Linked DNA regions of Caenorhabditis elegans. The protein of the gene in region 2 interacts with the protein of the main gene of each other region in a pairwise test. Each region holds a gene or a part of one and is shown on either strand. Other genes may lie near its edges. The genes, in order: nrfl-1 and aat-6.

Evidence for each region.
Region 1: the proteins of aat-6 (region 2) and nrfl-1 interact in a two-hybrid assay, tested with the Caenorhabditis elegans proteins (one study listed by BioGRID).

The regions. Positions count from the first base shown.
Region 1 is NC_003282.8:9,119,231-9,124,531, reverse strand, and holds the start of nrfl-1 (Na(+)/H(+) exchange regulatory cofactor-like protein nrfl-1), read right to left. Parts: upstream 3,161-5,301; 5' UTR 3,052-3,160; coding exon 2,272-3,051; intron 1,255-2,271; exon of another isoform or gene 854-1,254; intron 728-853; exon of another isoform or gene 656-727; intron 1-655. UniProt on the Caenorhabditis elegans protein: Scaffold protein that connects plasma membrane proteins with members of the ezrin/moesin/radixin family and thereby helps to link them to the actin cytoskeleton and to regulate their surface expression.
Region 2 is NC_003283.11:11,466,065-11,472,601, forward strand, and holds aat-6 (Amino acid transporter protein 6), read right to left. Parts: upstream 4,600-6,537; 5' UTR 4,535-4,599; coding exon 4,519-4,534; intron 4,366-4,518; exon of another isoform or gene 4,226-4,365; intron 3,115-4,225; coding exon 2,978-3,114; intron 2,788-2,977; coding exon 2,657-2,787; intron 2,602-2,656; coding exon 2,502-2,601; intron 2,459-2,501; coding exon 1,884-2,458; intron 1,613-1,883; coding exon 1,516-1,612; intron 1,473-1,515; coding exon 1,124-1,472; intron 1,073-1,123; coding exon 906-1,072; 3' UTR 778-905; downstream 1-777. Other genes in the region: zipt-16 (Zrt (ZRT), Irt- (IRT-) like Protein Transporter), read left to right, coding at 1-449, 523-669; Zinc metalloproteinase nas-20, read right to left, coding at 4,902-5,186, 5,234-5,576, 5,629-5,989, 6,032-6,114, 6,164-6,231; Zinc metalloproteinase-like protein nas-21, read left to right, coding at 6,509-6,537. UniProt on the Caenorhabditis elegans protein: Amino acid transporter that mediates the uptake of the L-enantiomers of various amino acids, including L-glutamate. May play a role in promoting fertility.

The DNA.
Region 1 (5,301 bases), on a different chromosome or scaffold from region 2:
GAAAAAGTATGTACTTTTAAGTAAAAAATCTTATAACTTTCAATACTTTCAGAGACCCAAAAAAAAAACCGAAATCGAACTATTTCAATATTTCGACGGAAAAAGGAACCCTATATCCTACGCCACTTGAAATAGTCTAATGTATATTATTTCTGATATTCTTTCGAATAAAAGTGAATATAAAAAACAAGTCCCAAAAATATCGGATTACAAGATGCGTTTCAATGTTGGGAAATGCCAAGAAATAAAATTCAAGTTTTGTGAAAGTTTTCCGACAAGTTATTTGTATTTCTAACATGTTCCGAAACCACAAAACATTTTATGAGATTCAAAGTTTGTTTGAAGGAAAAGAATATTGAACATACAACGTTTGATGAATGTGTACTTTTTGAAGAAAATTAGTAAAATACTTGAGAAAGTGTCTAAACATGACAAATGACAAGAATGGGAGAAGATTGTTGGTTTTTTGTAAAAATTAATAGAATTGGAATGTTGCAATCTTTTAGTGAAGCAAGATATTCCAATGCGTCATGCTTCGTTAACTATCTTTCTATTGAATGAGAGAGAGAGCACGAGACACAGACAGATTGAAATAAAGACATGGCAGGTGGAGGATAAAAAACAATTGGAAGAAGGTGTCTAATGGAGGACCAATTAGATATATTCAAATGAAGGTCATTTATTAAAGGACAAAGAAACGAAGAGGAAGATTTGTAACGAATGATAGGTAAGTGGAATTGTTGCGGATTACTGTAGTCAGACAACTTTTTTGAATTTGGTTCTCTCTGAGAATATGGCTTACGAACAAGATTTCTTAAAGGAGTAAAAAATTTTAATCGATTTTCCATTTTAGAATTTTCGAATGTTTCATCGAGTTGTAATATACTGTTAAACACTGGAATGCTGGTAACTCGTTAGTCTTCCAAAACTATTTCTGTTTCATCATATTTTTAATTATGTCACAATTTATTGAAGTGTTAATTGTCAAAAATAATAACCTATTTATTGATTAATTTACACTCCTCTTTGAGTTGTTTTTCTACACTCATTTCAATCTTCCTAACATTGAACTGTGCAAATTTCCAGTCCGCCAGTCTTCCAATATTTATGTTATTTTCCGTATCAATACCTCATAAATCTATCTGCTATCATATCTCTGTATCCCATTTTCTCATTTAATTTACAGTTCCTCTTCCAACTTTCTAATGTCTCAATTTTGATCATAAATCATCATTTTGTTCTGTTTCTCTCGCACTAAACATATTTTTTTATTACTTGTCTTCTTCATTGTCATTTTCTTCTCAATAAAAAATGATCTACCTTCTCTCTCCTTTCTTGCCAATGCCACAACACACATTTAACAAAACATACATAAGCTTCAAGAGGCTGAATGAGAGAGTGCGTAGAGTGCAGACACAGTTTTAACAGTTTTCTCGTATGTTTGCGGTTTACTTGGCAAGTTGGCAAAATTTTTGGAAATGTATGCAAGAGAAGATGGAGGAAAGATGAGTCAGAAATATGAAGAAGAGGAAATGATACTCGTATTTATATGAAAATGAAATTCTTTTTGGAGAAAATGGAAATATTGAAGAAAAAAGTTGAAGAGGATGACGAATACCTCAACAAATGTTGGAATAGTTTATAAAACATAGTACCCAATTGATAGTTTGGCGAAGTTGGTCTCTAATCAATTTAAAGAAAAAATACTGAAATCCTTATCAAATTGTTTTTGAAGAATTTGGGTAAGGATAGGCACGCGTACCAGTATGGGAAAGATGAAAAACAAAGAAAAGAAACCAGTTGAAATACCATTTCAATTAATTCTACGGTGTGCATTTTATCTGAAATGCTGTAAAACAAGTTGAGATTTCACGTTTTAAAGAAGTATGGTTTTATGATGAATTATAGCCCAAACCAAAAAATGTGTAATTTAAATTTTTAAATTTTGAATAAACAGGAACAATTGTCAGCAAAAAATTTGGATCAACTTTGGTCCGTAAAATATAATTTTCCATCGTTTCTTTGGAGCTATCGGTTCATTTTAAAGACAGTTGCTGACATCAACAAAATTATTAACTAAAAAATTATAGTAAAATAGATTATAAGTAGAAAGTTGTCAAATTATAATAAAATCAATGAAAAATCAGTTATGAGCTGCCTACAGTAAGGGGGTGCAATACTAATAGATAATTCTCTAACTTTTAAATTTATAATTGTTAGAAAGAAGTTTTATTTTTGAGTCGATATTTCAAAATCACAACGTGTGCTCACCCGACTCCTAGATTCCAATGATTCAATACTCCTTACAGATCCATCTTTGAAGATTCCGTTCCTTTTTCGTGAGGTCCTCTCGTCTTCTTCTTCTGATCTTATAACTTCATCAAATTGTCTCATCACATCCCGTTGCTCCGCATCCATCCAATCACTCATTCTAGTTCTTTTGATTCGAATTGATTCAGTTTTCCAATCAAGTTTCGGAACTCGCAGCAACACGTGGCTACCAGATGGAACGATAGCAATGAGTTCAGATGGGCGGATGGTAGAAGCGTCGGAGATCGTTGATGATGCACGTGAAGGTGCACGGAAAGATACAGTCGATGATGTGGTGGTAGTGGTGGAAGAAGCAGATGATGAGGGTTTCTTCAATTTCTTTAGCAACGTCAAAGACTTTTGTCTTGAGAGAGTAGAGACGTAGGCTGGAGAACAAGTCCTCTGAGACGAATGAGGTGTTAGACAGTTGTTGCAATAGACGAACGACGAAGAGGGAGGCAATAATGATGAATCCTTTGGCGCTGGGTCCCCTAGACCCGCTACTTGTCTAACTGTCTGCGTAGCATCTCCTCGTGTTACTATCTCAGTGCGCGGAATACCTGCGTCTCTGGTGATCTGCTCCGTTGATTTGTCATCGGTAATCCGTTGTGGTTGTGGGAGATGTGGTAGATGCGAGGAGATCAACCACAAATAGTACACGAAAGAGGTGTAGAGATACGAAATCCACGTGATTGGGTTTTTCCAATCTATTCTTTCTGGTTCAGATGGATTGCGATCCATGTTTGAAGAAGGCAATATGCAGATTTAGAATTGAAATTTCTTAGCTGAGAATAAGAGTTGAGAATACTGTAGTGATGTGCCGAAGAGCCAAGGAATGTGAATCAAACAAAAGTGCCTTTTTGGTATTCCTTTGTTTGTCAAGATATATAACTTTTTTGTCCCTCTTCGTGCCTCAATGCATAGAATATGTATGGTTTGGCCCATAAATTCTTTGCCCCGTCTTTTTCCATCTTCTTCATATTTTTATTGAATATTAACATACAAAACAGGCACACACACACAAAACCAACGCTATTGTGTCGTCCGTTTCTTCATCGATTCGAGAATCATCGAAAAGTTGTTCCGTTTGAAGAATAATGGTTGAGAACGTCTTGGAGTGCATGGAGAATCAGATTGTAAATCAAAAATTGGAGGAGAGAAAGTACAAGTGGATGACTAGAAATGATGTCTTAGCAATACTTAGATATTACAAGGAACTTAGAAAAGTTTACAAAACTTTTGCAATAAATCAAATATTTTTATGGAGTTCTAAAGAAAAGTTTTAATCAGATTTCAATCGCCTAAACTATATAAAGCATCATCGAATGACAGAATATGTGCATTACAATTTCAAGATAGTCTCCAAACCAACCACGGGTTTTCCTTAATGAGGAAACATTTTTTGTGCGGAAAAGGCAATTCCCGAATTTTTGAAATTTATGAATAAGTCTTTTAACTATTTATGAAACAGAAAAAAATTATTCAATTTTTTTGCAAGAATTTTTATTTCCATTTCTTCATTTGAGATCGGATATTGTATAACTTTTTAAAAATTTCAGTTCTAAAATTGCATAGCCATTAATAATGTTAATTCCAATTTCCCCAGGTTCAATTACCAATTTTTAATTTTCATTGTTCCTATAACTTTCATCTAAAATGACGTCATTTCTTGTCTATCGACTCCCTGTCTATCTACCTCGAAATATTTGTCAATCCTTTTTTAGTGTGAGAACATATGAAAATGACGCATAAAAATGGTTCAGTGTGACTCAGTAGATATACGAAGTTCGGTTGATCAAGTGCAACTAGAGGTGTCAAATAAACAAATGATGCTCAATGAGCAACTACAGCTATACTATTTGATATTCGATACTGTTTGAAAATTACAAAATAACAATGAGGAATAAACAAAGTGGAGAAAGGAGAAAATTATGTGAAAAGGCAAAAAGACTGACCTGTGAATATGACGTGGGTGCGTACCACGAACTTGGCGGGGGAGAATTGTTGGACGGATGACAGGAGTTCCTCTGACAATTGGTAACATAAGGGATTTTAGGCGCAACAAAGGGAAATAAGACAAATGGAAAATGTTTCTAATTTTACTGTCAAAAACGAATATTGCATTCTTCACGACAATGAAGACTTTTTTATCTTACATGTTAAAAATTTTAGAATTTAAAATAAAGTTAGGAGAATGAGAAAAGTCACACAAAATTGTTTTTTTTAATTTTGTAAAGATAAAATCTACATTTTGACTAACCATTGGAGAAACTCGTTCGATATTTGGAAGGTCCAATGTGATTTGAACATTATTTTCATTGTACCACTTAGCTCCTTCTTCAGAGATCACAAGCATTTCACATCGATTTGGATTTGCTTTTATGCGCTCAACCACCTTCTTGTGATTTTCTCCAATAATCGAGTGACCATTGACAGCAAAGATTCGGTCACCAGTGATTAATCCTCCTCTGAAAATATTTAAACAATTGGTAAAATAGAAACAAAAATTGCAGTTTCTTCTCCGACAATGCCAATACTTTAAAATATTCTACAATTTTCAGAGCTGACCAGAGAAAATGGACTAACTGTGAAAGCCTTCATAGCATTTTAGTATTGAGAGATTTTTGAAACTCAATAATTTATTATTGGTTTTTAATTGATATATGTATTTGTCAATGAATATTGTCCATCAATATCAAAAATAAAAATGTTTACCTCTCAGCAGGACTATCCGGATCGACGGTACCAACGAACTGTCCACGTCCCTTCTCGGCGTGCAAGTTGTAGCCATATTCCTGAAATTAAATGTTTTTGAACATACATATATGGGAATTTAAACTATAGATAACACACTATTTAAACTCCAATTTACATCACGTGTTGCCTGAAAAATTATCAGATTCAAAAAGTTCCATGCGTTACAACTCAGGCTGAACTGCATACTTTTTTTCCAATTTGTGAGGGTATTAATAGTAAAATAACAATATTCCA
Region 2 (6,537 bases):
AGCAGAAATCTGAAAAGCCAGGTCTGAATCATCAAGATAATAGTGATTCAATGTCAGTATCAATTCGAGTTGTTGAGAAAAAAGTAATTGAACCAGCAGCAATGGAAGTAGCTTCAGTCGCCTATATGATTATTTTTGGATCATCAGCTAACAACTTTGTGGATGGTATGAGCATGGGAGCCGCATTTTCAGACAATTTGCTCAGGGGTCTGAGTATTGGAATTGCTGTAATCTCCCAACAGTTTCCTCAAGAACTTGGAACTTTGGCAATTCTTGTAAAGTCTGGATTAGGACTCAAAAAGACACTTTTGTTCAATATGGTTCCAATTGTACTCAGTTTCTTGGGATTTTCGATTGGTGTGATGTTGGACAGTGTGGACGATTCGTATGACGAGTACATTTTTGCAATATCTTCCGGAATGTATATGTATATCTTCTTGGGAACCTTGGTTAGTTTTCTAAATGTTATGGCCTATTGTGATTAATTTTTATAATTTGCTCAAAACTAATGTTCACTTTCAGATTCCTGAAATTCGAGAATCGACGAATGAGCTCATCAAAGAAAATTTGGCCGAGAGTATTCTGGTGTCTATTCTCCAGGCTTGTGGTATTTTGTTTGGAACAACTTTCATGTACTTTATGAGTCGGGTGAACTCTGTGGACTTTTGAGCAGTATCTGCTTTTCTCTCTCTCTCTCTCTCTCTCTCTCTCTCTCTCTCTCTCTCTCTCTCTCTCTCTCTCTCTCTCCCATCCCTGCTTTGTTATATATGATACGGGTTATTAGAAATTGTAGTATTCCTATCACCAAATAAACAATTGTTCAATAAATATGTTACAATCATTTTCTAAAAAAACAACAGCACCTATAAAATGAAGTAAAACGGACTCAACAAATACTCATATATTTACATGCGTGTACACTTGAATTGCCCGTTTCCAGTTGGTGAGATCTTGTATGCTGGCACTTTTTCACTCTCCGATTCAGCTCCTCCAATGGCATTTTTCATCTCTTCGTCGCCGACTCGTTCTGGTACCACGTTGAAAATAATTTGCATAAACTTTGTACTTTCTTCTGTAAAGAAAAATAATGATACATTTTCAAAAACAATGCTAAAAACAATACCATTGATGACATGGGTTGCATTTCTGAAAGTATGACTTGAAGGCAGAGCTCTATCCCAGACAAAAATTATAAAAATAATGAGACCGCCAAGAAGGATTCCAAGTCCAACTGCAGAAGATTTGAAATCGTCAATAATACTAATCACAACCATTGAAGTGCACACGAGGAAGAATAAAATTGGCATAATGATTGGAAGTTGAATACGATCTGGATGACGAGGCCGTCCTCTGATACGAAGATAAAGAAGAGCCGACATTGTAAATGCTCTTTGTGACCATTGAGCAAATGCTACATAGTTAATCAATTTGTCAGGATCACCCAAAAATGAGACAGCAATTGCGATAAGGATCTGAAAATTGAAATTGTTCAAATACCCTTCAAAAATAACTTACATGAACAAGGAGAGCTACTCTTGGAGAATCACAATTTGGTGCAATACCAGAAATTGCACTCGGGATATGTCCTTGACGGGAGACAGCTTGCAGATATCTTTAAAAAACTATTTTATTTGATTTTTGGGAATCGAATCGTTTGTGTTTTGGTGTAGCCTATAAATCAAATTATTTAAAAGAGAAATCTGTGTCTTGGACAACCGACGTGGTCCACATGGTCTTCCAAAACTTTTAAAGCCCATTCTCTTCGAAAAAATATTATTATTCTAAAAAATGTTCACTAGATTTTAATTTGATAGACTCACAGTAAATCTAAATATACATAATTTTTTCTGTCTTCTCTTTTTTGGTCAAGTAATCGAACTCACCTGCTTGCAGAAAACATAGTACTATTGAGTGATCCAATTAGTAGAATAGCAACCATGACTGGAACAACGAAAGCAGCTGCTCCAAGAGTTTTATTTGCGAAATCAATTGCAACAGCATTTGAGGCAATCATTTCAGTGGGAGAAAGAACAATACTGTATGCAACATTAACTGCTACATAAATCACTCCGATGCATGTCATTCCAATGATAATTGAAAGTGGCATTGTTCTTTTTGGATTCTCAATCTCCTCAGCTCCAAAATTCAAAATATCCCATCCATCGTAAGAGAAGAGACCAGCGAACAAAGCATTCACAAATGGACCTGGATTCCAATTTGAACCTTTAAAAGGCTCTTCAAGATTTTGTTTCCAGTGTTTGAATATTAAATAGTAAAATCCAGTGATAATGATTAGAAGTGTCGCTGCAATTTTCGCAAGTGAGGCAAGAATTGAAAATCTTTGAACAAAGGTTTTCAATGAGAAGAAGTTCATAAACATGAGAAGAATGATTAGTGAGAATCCCAAAAGCTTCTTAGCCCAGAATTCGGACGTTTCATCTAGCTCCACTCCGGCTCCCTGAATTTGAATCTTAAAAATGTGCACTTTCAACTTTGCTCACCCGGAATACATATTCGGCGAATGTCTGTGCCTGAACTGCAAGTGTCGCTGGATAGTTGATAGTACAACCAATGCACATAAAAGCAAACGCCACAGGATACCTAAAACGTCAAAGAACACGTTAAAATGTTGCTGAAGAGTGTGAAAGTCACATGCCATTTCATGAAACAAAGGTATGCAAAATCTCCACCGGAAAGACGTATAGACGTGCCAAGTTCGACGTAACAAAACGAGCCAAGCATTGAGATAAAAGCCGCCAATATCCAGATAGCAAGTGATAAGCCGACCTTAATTCCAAACATCAAAAAATTAACACATTTCTTGATCATGGAGAGCAATTAGGTTTATTAAAATAGGTACACATAATGAAAATTCGGAATCAGAAACACCATTCAATGTACACTTTTTTCCACTAATATCATCTATTAATTTTTAACTGTCCACGCTCGTTCTTTTTTGCACATAAAAAATACTCACCGAGTTTACATTCTCGATAATCGATGTAGGAGTGATGAAAATTCCGGAACCAACAATATTACCCACAATATATGATATGGCACCTAAAAGGCCCATTTTCTGGGAACGAGAGTCATCGGGCATACTTGCGGAGACTCCTGAAAATGAAATCAATCATGTATTGAAGAAATCTAAAAGGTTATGTCAAAAAATACATAGTAAATAAACGACCTGACAGTGCTACCAAAACTTTACGAGCTTTTGAAAAATGACTTGAACTACTCGTAGCATCATCTTCGATTTCGCTTTTGCTACTCGACGACATTTAAAAAAAAATTGAAAATGAGATTACATGGAAAAAAGAATGACTATTAATTATTTACGTGTATTGAATTCGTACGTCAAATTAAGAATCTATCACATGCCCTCGGTAGATGGAATTAATTTTATCATGACTGTTAAAGTAATCAAAATCAAGCAGTTACAGCAATTTTGAACTGAATTTTCAATGATCATATCTCATATTTTGCGATTTTTCACTATTCACATTTATCGATTTGAAGAAACAAACGTTCACAACAATCGAATGCATTTTTCATAGTCATAATATAATTTTTCGGCAGTTTTCTTTTTAAAACTAGTGTTGCTAGGTGTATTAAAGTAATACTTTCGAGATATATATATTTCATTTTTGAAAAAAAAAATGTGTTTTTAAGTTTAGACCTCTTGCAGCGCATGAATGAGAATTTAATTTAAATTTCACTCTGTATATATTATTGTTGGTTGACTGTTCAAAATTTAAATTATTCGAGAAGTTAAACGGCCTTTTCTGTTGAAATTTGTACATGCTTTCTATCGGTTTGAAAGCAATAAAAATCGAGAAGATGTTTAAACTTGAGGAAATCTAAAACAAAAAGTTAACATGTGCGTGACAAACGTGTGAACAATAACATTTTGAAGTTTGTTGCTAGGAAAAATTTCAAATTTTCACCGCTGGAAATTGGAAACGTTTTGTACTCATGTTGTGAGTAAATGTAAAATTATGCTAAATAATTGCTTAAATTAGTTTCAAAAACAATTTTGAACCAATGTTTAGATAATTAAAAATGTTATCGTAAACTCTCAAATGTTAAGGCTCGAAACCCAAAAAAAGTAAAAACATAGATCATAGCCGACTGGAAGTTGAAAATGATCTAGTTCAAAAATGATACAATTCTTGATATCAAACTAGTCTCTCTTTAAACCTATTTAATCGTCACATTAAAATTGTTCAAGAATGCAATAAATTCATGTGTGAAATGCAATAAGAAGGTGCTAAAACACTGAAATCGAAACCACGCCGCATTTGATAAGAATAAGGAGCCGGCGCGTCACGAATTTTCAATTTTTTGATGATAAAGTACATGTGTAAGTCGAAGCTAAGCACCCGATGCGTGCTGTTATCTGTTCCTAACCAACGGTTGCCTGTCGATCAGAAAAGACCGAAATGTGCGGGGGAAGAAAATGAAAAAGGAAGGTAGAAAAAGGAGAAGTTGATAATCTTATATTCAAATACAACTCACCAAAAACATTCAGCATGACTCGACAATTAGAACGGAAACAAATAAAGAAAATGTGTTCATCGGAATGAAAACATCATAAACAGGCGAGAGATCAACAAATATTGAACCCACAGTGTATGACATAAAAGAGATTATCCAAACATTTTGAATTGTTACATATTTATTTCATATTGCAATGTTTGAACTGTTTTCTATGCAACTTGAAAAATATCTATAATTTTTTTTAAATTAGAACGGTATTTTTTGACGAATTGCAATTTATGATAGATTATTGATATGTGCAATTTTTAGTGTTTCAAAAACTCTTTTTAACTTTAAAATTTTTAAAAATTACTGAGGAGAAATCAGCATAGTTTTTATTTTCAACGGAGTGGATTGAGATGTTAATTGTTCTCTTCTGGCGCAGCAGTAGCATTCCCAGGAATATAACGATATTCGAATTCAAAGTGAGGTGTTCGGTTATTTCCATATTTTGCAATAATGAATGGATTATTGGTTGATGATCGTGTCTTATTCCATAAATTATCATTATCACAGCATACTAATGGGCTCACAATTCGTCGATCAGTTTTGTATTTCAATTCAACACCATTATAATCGCATGTATGTTGACAGAAAAATCCGGATAGTTTGGTGATACGAACCTCAATTGTGGATCCTTCTGGAGCCTGAAAATTTTTTTTAATTCTCTGGTTAGTTCTCTGATAGTTCTTACAGTCAATGCAAAATAAGTATACTCCGGCATAGTATTTGTTTCAATTCCTTTTCTGTAATTATTACGCACTCCTGATGCATCCCATTCTTTTTTAGCTTCCAAAACGTAAACTCCTTCATGCTGATCGCATAATTGACCATTGAATCCGTCAGTACAAAGACATTCTTCACAGTTGGCCGGATTCTGATAGCCGCCATTTTTACAATCCAATTTTCTTGGATGATTATCACAGTTGCAGCCATAGAATTTGTTCAATAAAACCATATCATAAAACGCAACTCGAAGGCTTCCCATTGTGAAGTTATATTCTGGATCTATCGGAATTCGTTTATCACTGTGAGGACTGAAACAGCCTAGTTGTAATAAAGAAGTCTGAAAAGTAAAATTTTACTCACTCTCGTGCATAAAGCATGACGCTTCCATAATCAAACGGAACAAGATTTTCAGTGTTCTCAATACCATCATTTGAATTAGTTGAATCAACTATAAGATAATCGTCCCTATCACTTCTAGCTTGACCATGGGCAATTCCAAGTGCATGCATGATTTCGTGAACAGCTGTTCCAAAAGATGCACAATTGTAATCTAATGTAAGATCTTGAACTTCTCCTGCGTGCATTCCATACAATGAATAACATCCATTTCCTTTTCTAATTCTAACTGCAGTTTCTGCATTCTCGTTATACTCAAATTTAAGACAAGTGTGATTTTCCAAGTAATTTATCGCATCTCGGAACATGGCTTGCATTTCAAGTGCTAAAATAATAATCCGAATCAATTTTTGAAACTATTTCTTACGTAAATTGTAGAAAAATAAAGACATTTTATTATTTTCCCACTTTGCATAATCTCGCATTGCTTGCCGTTTATCTCGGGTTATACTGAAAATTGTCTTAAACATCACAGAAAGACGTAATACTAATAACTCACTGACGATCAGAAAGCACCGAAGGGACTCCAATCAGAGCTACGAGCAAAAAATTAACTGTTATCTTCATTTTTTCGAAATTTTCTGGAAAACATAAATCTACTACTTATTTATACAGTTTCGGTATAATTTATTTCATTGTTAAGTGTTTTAAACAAGTGCAAATCGGGTTAAGAAAAGTCTATTGTGCATGGAAATTCAAAAAAAAGCGCAACAAAAGAATTCAGAAATTCTTTTAGGGACTCGTTTGGATACTGTATTAATTCATATGCACTTTATAAAGGAGTATATTGTCTTGCATCGACTATAAAATACTTCATTGGATTTTTTTATTCGTCGCATTTGCAATGAACTATTTTATTACTTTCTTCTTTAT